2 linked regions of the Saccharomyces cerevisiae S288C genome follow. Changing the gene in region 1 together with any one later gene gives a genetic interaction. Each region holds a gene or a part of one and is shown on either strand. Other genes may lie near its edges.

Region 1 (8,252 bases):
GTCACCGGATAGACCTTTAAGTATTAGTTGACAGGCCAATCTGTCGCTAACATTGATATTGTTTTCTTTTAGCCTCTGAATGATCGTACTGACTGTAATTTCAAATGTATCAGCAGATGTACTTCCGTCGTACTCAAGGTTGGCAAGAGCTATCCAATCCTTTAATTCTTGATTGTTAGTTTGCATTTTGGACACACTTTTACAAAGGACTGTAAGGATGTCAGCATAATTAATTTCTAAAATTTGTTTTACCCATGTTGGCAATAAATGAAATGGGGCAAATGCTTGGAAGGTATTGTATATATACGCATGTTCTTCATAAGTCATTTGTCTTTTGATTTCACCCTGGTCATTTGGAATGATGTCACCGAGATTAGAGTTCTTCAAAAATCTGATGTAAAATTTAACCCATGTAGAAAAGTTTTCTTCTGATGTTAAAGTGTGTGGTGGTAAGACGTTATTTCCCACCTTTGTCTTAGCTTGAGGTATTTCAGAGTGTTGATTTTTTAAATCGATTGGATCAGGTGAGGAAGTACTCAGTGGTGGGATATACCGTGGCAACGGATAGTGTGGGTCCGGTTGATAATACGCAGGTGACGTTTGATAATGTGAACACGTCATCATAGATGGTTGTTGGTAATGTGCCCAGTTAGAGGCCATAGCTTTGTTTGGGGTCATCATGCCGTGCTGTTGGTACTGTCCATTCTGTGGAGGTGGTACTGAAGCAGGTTGAGGAGAGACATGATGATGGTTCTCTGGAACAGCTGATGTCCCAGGTGTTGTCTCTTGTTGAGAATTAACCTTAGTGGAATCTCTATCAAATTCCGGTAAATTGGAAGCTGAAACGGCTAACGGATCTTGATTTGATGGGACTTCCTTAGAAGTAACCGAAGCATAGGCGCTACCATGAAGAAAAATGTGGATTTTGATGTAATTGTTGGGATTCCATTTTTTATAAGGCAATAATATTAGGTATGTAGATATACTAGAAGTTCTCCTCGAGGATTTAGGAATCCATAAAAGGGAATCTGCAATTCTATACAATTCTATAAATATTATTATCATCATTTTATATGTTAATATTCATTGATCCTATTACATTATCAATCCTTGCGTTTCAGCTTCCACTAATTTAGATGACTATTTCTCATCATTTGCGTCATCTTCTAACACCGTATATGATAATATACTAGTAACGTAAATACTAGTTAGTAGATGATAGTTGATTTTTATTCCAACACATTCCAATACCACTGATAAGTACATTCTGCATGTCTATTTATAAAACCTTCTTTAAGACAAATATGCTATTTATCCTTTGATAACAATTTCCTGTGAGACAGAAATCACCATAAAATAATCGGGCGTGTGGTCTAGTGGTATGATTCTCGCTTTGGGCGACTTCCTGCCTAAACAGGAAGACAAAGCATGCGAGAGGCCCTGGGTTCAATTCCCAGCTCGCCCCTTTATATTTTTTCACCATCAACGTGGTGTTTCACTTATTCCTTTTCTAGTATTTTTTTTCCACCTTATAGAAGCGTGCACGTTTAATGCTGGAGATAAAAAAAAAAAATGCATTAATACTCTATATAGCAGAAATATAGTTGTTATAACATTGTACCAACAAAAGAAGCCCTATGAAGATAAACTATGATCTAGAAGTATCAACTTGTTTGGAATGTATGCTTCGTTTTTTAAGTTATAGAGTAGTTCTGCCGAAATCTCTTGCAGATGTTAGGCATCTCTTTAGATGTATTGTCTTTATGAAACTAGTATGGTTTGAAACGACTTTTCATGGAATGTTTCTTGGCTTTCTTGTGTTTCTCCTTCCTTGGCCTCGTGGAAACCGATTCTTTTTGAATAATAAGAGGTTCGTCTAAATTAATGGAACCTTCTCTGTCGTCATCTCCTAAGACGTTCATTTTTTTAGAGTAATCCCAAAAATTTTCTGGAATATCTAACGGCCCCTGTTTGTTTTCCCAAATTTTAACGCAACCATCTTCACCACAGGAGTATAACATGTTGCTATGTTGTGCTGGTATAAAAATATCTCTGACGACCTCGTCTCCATGGGCGTGTGGGATAACAATACCGTTTTCAGTATCCACCTTCTCATCTTTAAATGGTAGGAGGCACAACTCTCCACAATTTTCTTGGGTTTTACCGGTTGCAATGAGTCCAGGGTAAATATCTACCACGTAGTCACAGTTCCATATTTCTCTTACATCACCAAAGTCCAAGGGTTGTGGCTCTTTCAATTCGTCAGATTTGTCGTTCAATTCGTGAATTGCAAATGTTTCCATATGTGATAGTGTAAATATCCTCTTTGGGGACAACCATCCACAGGAATGTATTGACGCATAATTAATAACTTGGTGTAAAGCGTCCTCCTCCTCATCTTGTTTCAAGTCATAAATGTTCGTGTAACCATCAGTTGAACCACTGAGCAAAATATTGACGTCAGAAGGATGAAATTTAATACAGGTAACGTCATCATGGTGAGAGTCAATTAATGATCTCAATGGAGTGTCCCATTTGCGAATATCATATATGTATACAGCAGCGTCAATTCCCTGCAATTCGGTACCACAGGCCAATAGACCATGACGAGAATCTAAGGAAATAAAGGGGGAGTTGGCCTCGTTTTGAATTTGAGCAATGCGGTCATTCGTCCTTATATCGAAAACTTTCACCGCGTCGATAGAGGCGCTACTAACTAGATGACCAGCAGAGAAGTCGCTACCGATGACCTTCATATCATTGATTGCAGTTTCGCTCGCCTTAATCTTTTGTACTGATTTACCAGTACTCCAGTCTAGCAAACGTATTTCGCCATTACTTAATCCAGTTAAAAGACCATGTTTATAACTAGGCTGTAACTTAAGACACCAATTTTCTGACCCGAAAGAATTCGATTCAACTAAAGAATAACTAGCCATGCTCTAGAAGTTAATTTGAGATTCTCGAACTTAAGTAGTTTTTATTTACACAGTAAGACGAGCCAGTGCCTATGTCCTAATGACTGCGTACGTGCACTGTAGTCCCATCTAACATTTTTACAATCTGGACTAAGAAAACTTTTATAAATCACATTGCCAATGCAAAAAAAAAGAATGGTCTCTAGCGGGATCGAACCGCTGATCCCCGCGTTATTAGCACGGTGCCTTAACCAACTGGGCCAAGAGACCACTGTTATCTGTTTTCCACCGTCCCTCCACACTACCAAACCAACGTCACTACTGTGTGCCAGCACCACCGCTCATTATCCCTGTGCCACAAAACTCAACTTACACTGTCATTCGAATTTCCGGCAAACTCCGACTGAGAAATGTTCGTACTACTTCCTTTCTAGGGCACATTGAGGAAAAACTCATTGAATGCACCCTTTACAAATCTTAATATCTCTGACGTTTGTATTGTATTAACCAAGCAACCCTCCCTGTGCAAGTAGAAGCCCTGGATCCTTTGTGGTCGTAAAATGAACAAATACCAATAAGACGAAAACAAAAACAAAAACAAAACGACATAGCAACAATGCGGAATTATTTAAGGCTGGCACTCTTTCCGCATGTTTATCACAATTATTTCCACTTTCACTTAAAACCTTGTTTAAGCTTGGCCTACACCACAGGAAAAAAAACCATCCGATCTAATCTTCAAATATCAATTTGAGGTTGAAAAAATTTGCTAAAGCGTTGGTCTAATTTTGTTTTTCGCCCACATAATGTCTACATCTTTCCAGGAGTTCAAGGCCTTTTGCAACAAGGTTGGGCTAGACTTTCAATGGCTTAATTTGCAATCCTCCAAGTCTGTTCCCGAAAGCGGTTCCTCTGAAGGTTTCTCAGCCGTCAGTGATACCGTACAAGAAAACATCAGACCAGCTACGGAACCACTTAACGTCAACCAGTCCAAAGATCCTGTCAGCAACTTTTTTTATGATGTCAAGAATGCTCCGCTCTGGAACGTGTATAAGAGGAATCATTCCGGTCATTCTTCTACTGAGGCTTGCTCTGGAGTAAGTTCAGGGCAAGCGTCAAAAAACATACCCGAGGCAATGGTAAAAGAGACAGTCCTTTCTAATCACGACAATGTCACCATAATAAACGAATTACTGCCAACGTCTTCTGCCATGCACCAGGAAGAAAGCACCGCTATGACAACCTCCTACCTCTTATCCCACTCCGTAAATGATAGTTGCAACGTAATGCTTTCTTCCTCCTCCCACAACCGTGCTATGCTCCCACCTTCTCTTGTGCAAAGAAATAACGCTACCACATCTCCCACAACAGACTCTGCGTCAGAAAACAACGAATCGGTACCCTCACTAACCTCATCTGTTAGCACATCCTCATCAGTTTATTCGTCATGGAATCCTCCTCATTCTCCCCACATATCGTCATTTCCAGACGGCAATTTCGCATCGCTTAACGCAGAAGTGACTTGCTTTGATTTCCGCCGCACCAAGGACTCCAGAACAAAAGAGACGAATGAATCTATCATTCCAACTGAAATTTACTGCCCAATAAATTCCACTGATCACCACAAACATTATCCAAGCCAAAAATCTAAACAAGATGCCTGCGCTCCTGCTCCCCGCAATCAAAATATAAGCTGCAGCGTCGGGTCCGCAGCGGAATTTTCCCAGTCTAACCACACGTTGACTACTGTAGTTCCTTCATACATGCAACAGTACCTTGACAGGCCACAGAACTGGTTTGAAAGCAAAATGGGAAAATACTGTCCACTCTTTCTGAGAAGTACAAAGAACATTGACTACGATTCCCTCGAATTTAAATTTGAGCGCAAGATGATAGCTGTTCAATACCTGCTTTTAGACGAACAATCTGAGCCCAGAAGGTACTACAATCCCTCAAATAAAAGTATTCCATTCTGGAAGAGACCCTTCAACTTCGATACAATGCCCAGCTACGACCAACTTATGGAGGAAGCAGAGTGCCGTTTTTATTCATACCAATACAAATACGAAGGTTTCCAGAGGATTGAGCCCTACTCCATTTTTTGTCCCTGGAAAAACACACAAAGAGAAATAGATCTGGTTCTTGATCACATTCATTTTTCTCTCGATGTCGGCGAGAAGAAGTCTTTAAACCGAAAAGGAAACATCACTCTCGATACTTTAGACAGTAAGGTCGATCCTAACATTCAGATCAAGCCGTATCAGATTTTTCCGTCCAACAACCTAGTATACGAAGGCTTACCGCATCCCGCCGAACAATCCTTAATTTTGAGTCCTGGCACCTCCCTCATTGAGAGGGCGTTTCAGGCACTGATAGACATATGCAAGGAATCTATTCCACCTTCTAATGACTGTACTACCCGCAACCATAATAGCGCTCCTCAGCTTACCGTGCCAGAACCATCTAAACCATGCCGGCTACTACTTGTTCGTGAGTCTCGCACAGCAACAGAACTAGAAACTAACAAAAAGCTCTGGCTCCACTCACAGAGAAGGAATATCGAAGTGACCGTACCAATGCATCCTTCTGAGCATGGGACAAAAAGCCGGTTACGAAAATGGCTCTCAACTTTTGTACATCAGTGAACCGTCAGAAGTTCCGATAGTTCGAACTGTTTGGCACGGCTGACGAAATACTTTTAACGAGCAAGTTAGTCTACACATAACTTCGTACTTACCACCGTTTTCTTCTGGCGCGCCTCTTCAAGTAGACTACCACTTCCCTCTTGTAATAGTTGTTATATATGTTTTCATAGTCTGATTTAAATTTTACGCATATTCATCAATTAACCCAATGCACCAAAAAGGCGGGAAAGAAGCAGTAAAGCAAAGGCCTTTGCCAAGCCTTCTTATCGACAGAAGCAGCCTCAAAAGGTTCCTTCGAGAGCGGCGCGCGTATTTATTCACATCGCGAATCACTGGACCCTTAAAATAAAGGCGCCTATTCACGACATCTGCCACAGAAACAACTGTTCAGTTATCCTAGCAGCAGTTTTTGCACAACGGTATAAACCTGTACAAAACTTTAGCAAGGTTTTTTAACAACAAAAGTGCTTGAGGGACACAACACAAACTATAGAACAGACACTGTTTTCCTGACACTGCTTTCCTGACAAGAGACTCGTTTCTGAATTATTTTTTTTTTCAAGCATCTTTGTTTCGCTGGAACCATTGAGTCTTTTCTTCCATTTTTAATCTTTATTCTGCCTCCTTTCCTAAACACAAGTTGATACAACGAGGCTGTCAATAGCAAGAGCGTGCGCGAGATCATGCTTTACTCCAGAGAATCAAGGACAACCGTCCTTTTCCTTGCGTTGGTTACCTCCCTAACCGTACTTTGTCACTCGGTCGATGTAACAACTGTATTTACTACGTCAACAATCACCGAAATCACAACTGTGACTGCCGCACCGCAACCACAAAACAAAGCGGAAACCGCTTTGAATACTGCTACTAACATAATTCAAACCATGCAGTTTCTTTTCAACTGCGCACCATTTAAGTGGAAGGGTCCTTTGAAAATAACTTCTTGTGCGCTGAACTTTATTGTCCTACTACTCACCGCTTGGGGCTATCTTCTGAAGTATCTGCAGGAAAATAAGCTGAATAGCGATGCTGATATGGAAAAAATGGTAGGACTGGGATTTGGGGAAATGGTCGGCAGAATCTTCGGAAAGGGTGTCGGGAAAGCTTTTACTAAAATGGATATCACTCAGAAACTAGTGTACCCGTTCGAAGGAAGCAACCGGCAGAAATGTCTACTCATGACCGTCGGAGAAAACTCGATAGTGCCATTCCACGATTTGTTTACAGAGATATGCTTTGACCAGTACACTCTGGACTCGCTATCCCACCACAACCATGGGAGTATTTCGATTTTAGATGCTGGATCAGTGAGCGCCTTGGGGTTCGCGGATATTTCATCGAAAATGCCCTCTGTAAGCGAACTATACACACTTTTTGGAGATTATACGATAGAAGTACTGGGCGGCATCACTAAACTGGCTTCAACTCTTAACAGAGAGGACTGGCAGGGGGAAAGAAACGGGTTCGCGGTTTTATCGAGAGACCGGCCTAACCAGACGTTACTAAGCGTCCATATGTACTCTTCAAGCTTGCTATAGATGGAGCTGCTCCTGGCTGTACACACCATACACCAACTTACCCCTACATGTACATAGTATCTGTCAGTATTTCACTTTAATAGGTATTAATAAAAATTTCAATCTGTGAACACTCAAACCTGTTTCCCAGTAAAAATATACAGCGGCATTGAGTCTTGCGGCTCGCCAACTTGGAAGCAGCCGGGAATGATACTACTGCAATGGCTTTTTATAGTACATATCGACTTTGCCAGCTACATAAGGGAAAAATTAATGTCTAAAAAAAGCGCTTACATCCTTCTTGCAATTGCAAGATTTGGAACGCACAGTACGTACGCTGCGCTACGGGATGAGTATTTATTGATCTGTAAGCGTTTGATTATTAGACTATGCTATCAATATTTTTGATGACGCGGGTAAAAAATAGCAGACAATTCCCGCCAGATGGAAAAAAAGCTGGGCTTTAATTCAAGGAATGGAAATAAAAATAATTTTGCGTGAGTTAACTTGAGAGACAAGAGAAGGAAATACTTAATAATGATACTGGGAAAGAAGATTCAATTGAAGACAGTAACTAAATAATACTTTCTAATTTTTGAATTTGCTACAGTTCGGCTTTTTATCTACTCTCTTCTGGATCAATTTTTCTTTTTCATCTAAAGTTTAAAAGGAGATGGGTTTATATCAAGCAAAGAATGATGAGGGAAGTGATCCGAAAAGCAGCAGCAAGATTGACGATTTGATAGAAAATGAGGCAGAAATCATACGACTAATCAAGGAAGATGGCAAGTTACTGATAGACAATGGCGATGGTAGAGATATCCATAACATAATTCAAGAAGACAAGCTCCTCAGTGTAGAATTTAACGAAGTACTAAAGCGATTTCACGGGGAAGAAAAGTCAGATATTCCTCGGAAGGAGTTTGATGAAGACGAGGATGACGGATATGATTCTAATGAGCACCATCAAAAGACTATAGAAGTAATGAACACACTAAATCACGTCATTAATAAAGAGGTGATTCCTCCCGAAAACTTTAGCCACGTCGTTGGGGAGATATACCGTAGCAGTTTCCCACGACAAGAGAACTTTTCGTTTTTGCATGAAAGACTAAAGTTGAAATCCATCTTGGTACTAATTCCGGAAGAATATCCGCAGGAAAATCTAAATT
Region 2 (7,722 bases), on another chromosome or scaffold:
ACTGCTTTGGTTTACTATTCAGTCTTTTTTCCAGGTGAGGGGTTGTGTTGATATTTTTTGCAAGCAGTGGCTGGCGTATTTGATCAGGTTTTGATACTGGCTTGATTGAGGAGGGTCCTTTTTCTTTTATATACTTTACTGGAATACCCTCTTTACAACATAAATGTCTGCATTGCGTTTTGTCTTTGCAGCTATGAAAACACTCGTAATTGCCATTAGATCTTACTTGGCGGCCATTACTAAAATGTGAAGAAGAGTGTGCCTCCGGGTGAATAACTGCTGCAGATTCAACCGCCTTTGATGATTTCTTCCTTTCATTCAAATAATCTAGTATACTATCATCTGAGGATAGCGATTCTTCTAATCCATCTTTATGGGAAACCCTAGACGTTTTCCCCACTTCTCCGTCACTACTGCTTTCATAGAAGAGGCATTTTTCTAAACTATTTAGATCTTTCCTTATATTTGGTGTCTTCGCAGAGAACTGTGATGCCAAATGATCAGTGGAATATACGATTGTTTTGCCGAGTCCGGCGATTTCTTGGCAATGAATTGAGAATTCTATTTTTTCTAGTTTTGGTGATATTTTTGCTGAAATTCTAAAGCCCCTTGGTGACTGTAGTTTGTTAACTTGCAATCTTCTAAAGTCGATTAACTCTCCTGAGCTTTTCTCGGTTTCGATATCTAATGAGAGGTGCTGACCATGCCAAATGCTAGACTTGAATGTTGCACTAATCTCAACTTTAAATGTCAACCACAACTCTTCATTTTCTATTTTGCAATTTTCTAGTTTTGTTCTAATATTCAGACAAGGCAACAAAGAAATGTCGTTTTTAATTTTTATGCCGTTTCCAATCTTGAGGTTAAGATAGTATTCAATCTGAGTATCTGACAAATGCCCCATTTCTTCTAGATTGGTAATTCCATGTCGTATTAGCCTTCTTACTGAAACTAGTCCAATTGTTTTCAATTGCCTAAGAACCATTGGCGTGTTTTCCCAGCAGTGACCATTCAGGCTTCGCAGTAAGAACAAAGTATTTTTCAGTGATGTTCCATCACTTTTTTCAATAAATGTGTCTACCATGCATTTTAGTAATCTAAAACAATGTCTAAAAACGAGGAATTTATCCTGAACAAGAGTTTGATGTAGTTTAGAAGCGCCTTCGTATGATGGAAATTCTAACCCACCTAACTCATATTGAATCAAAAGAGAAACCTTTTGACTAACCCTGTCAATTATTTGGCTCTGTTTCTTCTCGGTTAAAAATGGATATTTCAAAAGTGGCGATAAATTGATTTCTTTGAACAATTTTTTTTCATTGTGCCTCACCCTCATAACTGAAAACTCTTCAGAAGTGGCCAGTAAATTTAGTATCCCTTGTAATGATAGAAATTTTTTTGCGTTAATGAATTGTTTCATCGACTCAAAGGATATATAATGTCGCGTCATTGCATTTCCGTACGCTGTAGATTTGTACTCCCCATTGCTGATATCGATTATTTTCACTTTTACTAAGGTGTCAAGCAAATACTGACAGAATTGATTTATCTGAGAGTCTTCAACGGAATGAAAACTAACGTATCTGTTCACCTCTTGATATGCAGCTGGATTCTTCCCAAATCTAACGTAAAAGAATGTGTTTCGTAGCCAATTTACTGCAGTTTCAATTGAATATACAGTTTCCAAAGAGGTTTCTGCTGCTAAATGCTCGATCAAATTCAAATGTAATGAACTTTCCAAAACGTCAGTTCCATGAATTAAGTTTTCATATGTTTGCTTCATTTTAGAGTCTGTCATGATTACTGCGCACCCGTGAGTTTCAAATTGAGGTCTTCCTGCCCGCCCAATCATTTGCAGTACATCTAGGTCTGAATACTCTTGGATTTCAGAAGAGTTCCAACTTTTGGTGCCTTTGATAATGACCAAATATGCGGGAAGGTTCACACCAACAGCTAACGTTGAAGTTGAACACAATATATTAATTGAACCTGCAAGAAATTCTTTCTCAACGGCAGTACGGTCTTCTAAAGAAATTCCAGCATGATGGAAAGCGATACCTTGTTGCATACATTCATTTAATATTTTATCGGAGGGATTATGATTACATCTTTTCTTACTTTTTGAAAAAATATGATTATTTAATAAAAATTTTGCTGTTGATATAGTTGAAGCCCTAGTCGGACAAAATATTAGTACGGGACGATTATCGGCATGCTTTTCAATTATTTCAATCAATTTGGAATTATATATAGCATCTTTTTGGAAGTCATTTTTGCAATTGAAGGAGTACCCATAAACAAACTTCGTTAACTGAACTTGCCTGTACGATTCGTCAAAAGAAAGAATATTTGCAGGAAGCTCGTTGTTAGTTTTGAGCCACAATGCTAGGTCTTCTATATTTGGAACTGTTGCACTTAAAGCAACAAACCGAATGTTTTGACACATTGTATTCATCCTTGTCAGAATTACTTCCAAAGATGCTCCTCTTTTCTCCTTTATGGTATGAATCTCATCAACTAGGACAAGTTTGACCAATTCGAATAATCGGCTGTAATCGGACCATCTTCTTGTTAACAAATCCCATTTTTCTGGTGTCGTAATTATTATGTTACATTTTTTAGCCTTTTCAGTTTCCAGAAAAGAGGTATCACTAGTAAGCATACCAACAGAAAGATTCACAAAGGAAGGAAACCAGTTCTTGTACATCTCGTAACATAGAGATTTGGTTGGCGCGATGTATATAATTTTGGTGTTATTGGTATCACTATTTGTTTCCTTTATAAGACGTAATATTGCCAATTCAAATAATACAGTCTTGCCTGATCCGGTTGGTGAAGAAATTATGCAGTTCTCGTTACTCTCATAAATACTAGGAAAAGCCTCTGATTGCATTTTATTAAATTCTGTAAATTTAAAAACCCCTCTGAATGAATCTGGTAATATGGTCGTGCTCAAACATTTCTTCGCTGATTTCCTTATCGTGACCTTCTTAGGTTTCTTCGCCTCTTCATCAGGTGTCTGCTCTAAATCGTGATCAAATAATTTACTAGTTACTTGTGTATCATCTGCTGTTATTGAAAAATTATCGTCTTTGTCGAAGAATTGCAGACCACGGCCCTCAAATATTTCCTCTGTTTCATTTTCATCATCACAATCATCCAGTAAACTGTTATAAGACAAACCTACTTTAAAACTTGGTTGGCGGCTATTTTTCTTATTTCTTTTAAATGTAGCAGACTGGTCGTTAAAGTCAATATCTATAAGTCCTCTGAAATTCTAGTCCAGAAAAACCACTTTTGGTTGCATTTCCGCTAGATAATAAAAGAAAGAGGTAACAATGTTAGTCAAAATACTGTTGTTGTCCGATATGGTGTAAACTGATAAGGGTGTTGCTAAGCTTCGTTACTACTATTTGGAGAGGGTCTACTTCTTTTTCCTGTACCGAGGCGATCAAACTTTGTTTTCATCCTTACGACGCCTCTTAAGTTGTCAAATCCACCTTGAGGTATCAATCATTTTCAATGAAAGGATTTCTTGATAGATGATACTAATAGTCCCGTTTTGTTTATAATCCGGGGCAAAGTCTAAATACCCGCCGAGCCTGCATCCATTCGTGGTACATGATATGTTAAAACTACAACAAGGCATAAAAAAGGGAAGTATATATGATTAATTATATATACGTAAAGGAAAAGATACGTAGTTAAAGATTGTTTTTGTTGGTATCAATGGAATCAAAGATGAGTGAAGAAGAAGCGCATAAAACAGTGGAGGTGGATGACGTCGGGGTTCAATTGGATGAGGGCGATGAAGAAGACCTTTTGGAGTATGATGATGAACTCGTGGAGGAACAACCATCGGACGCCCGTATACGCAACGTGGCAGAGACTTTAATGAAAAGCGAATTGCCCAAAGTCACCGTGGAATATAAAGATACTACATTTCTGTTGTTCACGTCGGATGATAAGAACGAAAGTAACAACCCCATAATATGTGAAAACGCTGCTCTTTATCAGCGACCCATGGGGGAATTCATGGAATCCATTCGTAAATTTATGGGAAATCGTTTTGGCAGGTTGGCTTTTGCTACGAAGGAGTTGGTTTTACAACTGAAAAGCCTCGATTTGACCTTGTTCGAAGATAATGTCTACAACAACCATATTTCATTCAGCGATGTTTATACTATATTTAAAATCCTGAAGGAAAGATCGGAGTCTAATTTTGAAACTGATATACCGACGCACTTGGCTATTGAATTAAGTACAAGGCCAAGATTTGTCTCTCGGTACAACGCCTTGGTTGAATTAACTGAAAGCTCAGCTACGTTGAAAAACATAAAGCCATTTTCTAACGATGAAACGCATCCCTTAATTGTGGATGACAATGACCAATATACACACCAGAATACTTCAGAAGTCATTGTAATGGACATAGATGATGACGTAGGTGAGGATTCTGAAGACTAAAGTAGCCATGTTTAATCAGCACTGATCGTGGGAAATCCTGATGTCCAACGGTGAGTTTCTGATTTCCCAGTCACGGATTCCTTTTGAGAATCTTCTCCCGCGAATAAATTATTGGCTCTGTGTAATATTTAAGGTCGCCTTCTTTTTCGTTTGTATAGTCAGCAGTTAAGTATTCATTAATTTTGGATGATGCAAAGGTCCATATTCGATTTCTGATAGCCCTTCCCCCTTTTTTGTAGCGAATTGTATTATTGTTTTGTATTGTTTTTTCGTCATTTTCTTCAATTTTTTTCAAGTTTTACTTTCGGAAGAATTGCTGAAAGTATTTTCTGTTAGGATATGTAAAATACAAGCATAAAATATGTTTCAGGAGAAGAAAATCACTCAATAGTGCCACACCATTGTTAACGAGCTCGAGTAATTGAATCAATTTAGAGAAATAGATCATATTACAAAAATACTATGATTATTGAACGTTGGGAAGTAAAGTTATCTAAATGTAACCAAAATGTGGGCGGCTATTCTGTTCTGTCAGGAAACTTAAAAGAAAACATCAAACTGGGAAGACGAGCACAAAAATATTTGAAAGAGCTAAGAAATTTGCAACTTAAACCACTGAAAATCGGAGGGTATGAAAACTGCGGCACGATCAATGGTGAAGAGTATTTTTTGGAGGTAATTCACATCACCTCTGGAAGACAAAAAATAGATGTAGCCGTTGGCAAAACATGGAATGTGACTAACATTGAGAATGACAACAAAGAAGAACTACAGTATGAGTTATTCAAGGAAAAGTTAAAAGTCGGGAAACAGGACATGTTATTTTTTAGCTGGATGAAAAGTCTTTCAGTTCAATTAAATGCTCCTCTTCACCAAAAAATGACGGAACACGGTTTGGCAGACGATAACACGAGGTTAGAGTGGTTCAACATCCCACTTCTCAGAAGAAGTCAATACAGGAAAAAGGTACCATATCCGAGTTTAAGACAAATGTCCTCTGTACTGGAAGTGCAATGCAGCACACTAACGGAGGAAAAGTTGAACTTCTGCGTTGGATTTTCTGATAAACCTTTGTCAGAATGGAAGCCCCAAATTTTTGAGCAAACCTACAATAGATACCGTTTACAACGGATCTCACCTGAGAAATCTTTCAAATATAAGAGTAGGTGCAGTAAGTACAATTTCAAGACCAGTTCGCAAAGCTGGGTTGTGAAAGTCCCAGAACATGATCAACAGCTTAATACGTTTGAAAAACGTTATGATGAACTCTTTGATGCTCAATTTAATAAACTAGAATTTTTTAAAATAAGAATGAAAAAATTGAAAAAGAATAAGCCAATTGAGAAAAAGAACTATAAAATATGGTGTCTAGAAAAAGAAGACCTAAAGGATTTGGTATGGGATCCTCTGAAAAGAATTTGCAATCATTCTAGGTATGCAATATTTGAGCATGTTACCATAAATAGGGAGGCCTATTCGATCAAACCATTAAGGTTAACTTTTCAAAAATTAGATTCCGGCTCCCTTGACCTGATCGATAATCAAAAAAAGACGTTTGGTAGTATAAAGCTTGCAATGAGTATGCCAGATGTAAAAAAAACTGAAAATCAGTCAATTGAAGAAAGTGAAAGACACGATGAAACTGCTATTGAAACCCAAGAATTTGATGAAAATGATTGTCTTTCATCTAAGGCGGATATTAATACATCATTAGCTCCTCAAAAGAGATCTTTCATCGATAATGAACTAATGTCCATGTTAGTCACCAAAAAAAAAATAAAGAAGGACAAGGATGTTAGTGACACCGGTATATCTTCCACTTCATACTTGATAAATTCTGGGACATATGCAAATTCTCATATTGAAATTCCTACCTCTAATTCAGTTTACAATGGAAAGGAAGATTGCTCATTTAATAACTACTCAGTAAAGCATTCAATATTGGAAGAAGATATTGAGAATAAATGCATAGCCGTAAATGAAAACAAGGTGATTGAGAACCAAAAGGTAATTCAGTCATTATGTAAAAATTCCCATCTAGACCTTATCGAACAATCTTACTTTGGCGAATGCGATTTCATTATAAACCATTCAACATGTGTATATAAAATTCAGGCGAGCCGATTTATGCAACTCAGAAATAACGGCTCATTGCATTACGATAAAGCGGTAAACGATCTTTTAACTGAATTTCAGAGAGTCATTATAATTGTGGAGTTTTCTGAAATAATACAAGACGTTGATCCTGATCTTTTCTGGAAAATCAAACTTTATTTATTGAATTCACGTGTTGATGTTTTTTTCATTCATGAGACTACTGACTTTTTTATTGATTGGATGAAATATTTCATTGCAAGATGGGCCTTTTCATATAACGATGAGAAAGAAAAAAATATTGCAAATGCCGATATTCTTCTAGATTTGGGATTTAACATCCTCTTAGTACGGAAAATTTTCCAGACATATAGTCTCGAAGAATTTTTTATGGCAATAATAAAGGAAGAAAGCAAAGCTGTTAAAATGCTTACGGTTTCACAAATGACTCGCCTGAAGAAGTTATTAACCTTAGAATGGTAAATCCAGCAAGGATCGTTACCCGGTAAACTATTTATACTACGCCTGCCTCTTTCGTTCTTCGACTACATGCTACAGTTAGTAAATTCAACCAAGGAAAATGTATTTATTAACATGAACTAGCCACCTAATTAACCCTTACCTTATTTTTTATACCCTTGGATCATCGGAGTATCTGTAGATCATATGTTAACGTATGTATAATATTACATCTGTCACAATAAACAACCCGAAAAAAATACCGCACGGAAAATGAGTTACTGATTAAGATGCACTTTTTGGTGAGGGTGCGTGACTTGAAACTAAAAATTACCAATAGTCAAACCCTTTCCATTTTCGAGGGAAGCAATATCTGAAATTTATATTTTTAGAAATTTCCAAGAGAAAGTGGCTTTTAACGAGGTTCTTCTTCTTCATCCCCTTTTTTACCAATATTCCTTTTTATGGTTGTATTCGAAATAACTATACTTGGGGCCAATGGAGGACCCACCGAATACGGAACACAGTGTTTTATACTTAAGCCTGCTAGAACAGAGGATCCAGAATTAATAGCTGTAGACGGTGGTGCAGGAATGTACCAGCTACGGGAGATGTTGGTCCAAGGGCGAAATGAAAATGAAGGTGATGATGAGCTTGTTCCAAGCTTTTATGAACATGATCGAGAGCCAATAGAGTTTTTTA

Evidence for each region. Genes that interact genetically often act in the same process or in processes that back each other up.
Region 2: mutations in YNL033W (region 1) and RMR1 together harm fitness more than expected from each alone (negative genetic interaction), as found in Saccharomyces cerevisiae (one large-scale study listed by BioGRID).

The regions. Positions count from the first base shown.
Region 1 is NC_001146.8:566,753-575,004, forward strand, and holds YNL033W (uncharacterized protein), read left to right. Parts: upstream 1-6,246; coding exon 6,247-7,101; downstream 7,102-8,252. Other genes in the region: YNL035C (uncharacterized protein), read right to left, coding at 1,770-2,939; YNL034W (uncharacterized protein), read left to right, coding at 3,725-5,563; putative tyrosine protein phosphatase SIW14, read left to right, coding at 7,754-8,252.
Region 2 is NC_001139.9:28,169-35,890, forward strand, and holds RMR1 (Rmr1p), read left to right. Parts: upstream 1-3,741; coding exon 3,742-4,467; downstream 4,468-7,722. Other genes in the region: HFM1 (DNA helicase), read right to left, coding at 1-3,258, 3,411-3,468; ZIP2 (Zip2p), read left to right, coding at 4,930-7,044; 3',5'-cyclic-nucleotide phosphodiesterase PDE1, read left to right, coding at 7,485-7,722. UniProt on the Saccharomyces cerevisiae protein: Required for normal levels of gene conversion events during meiosis.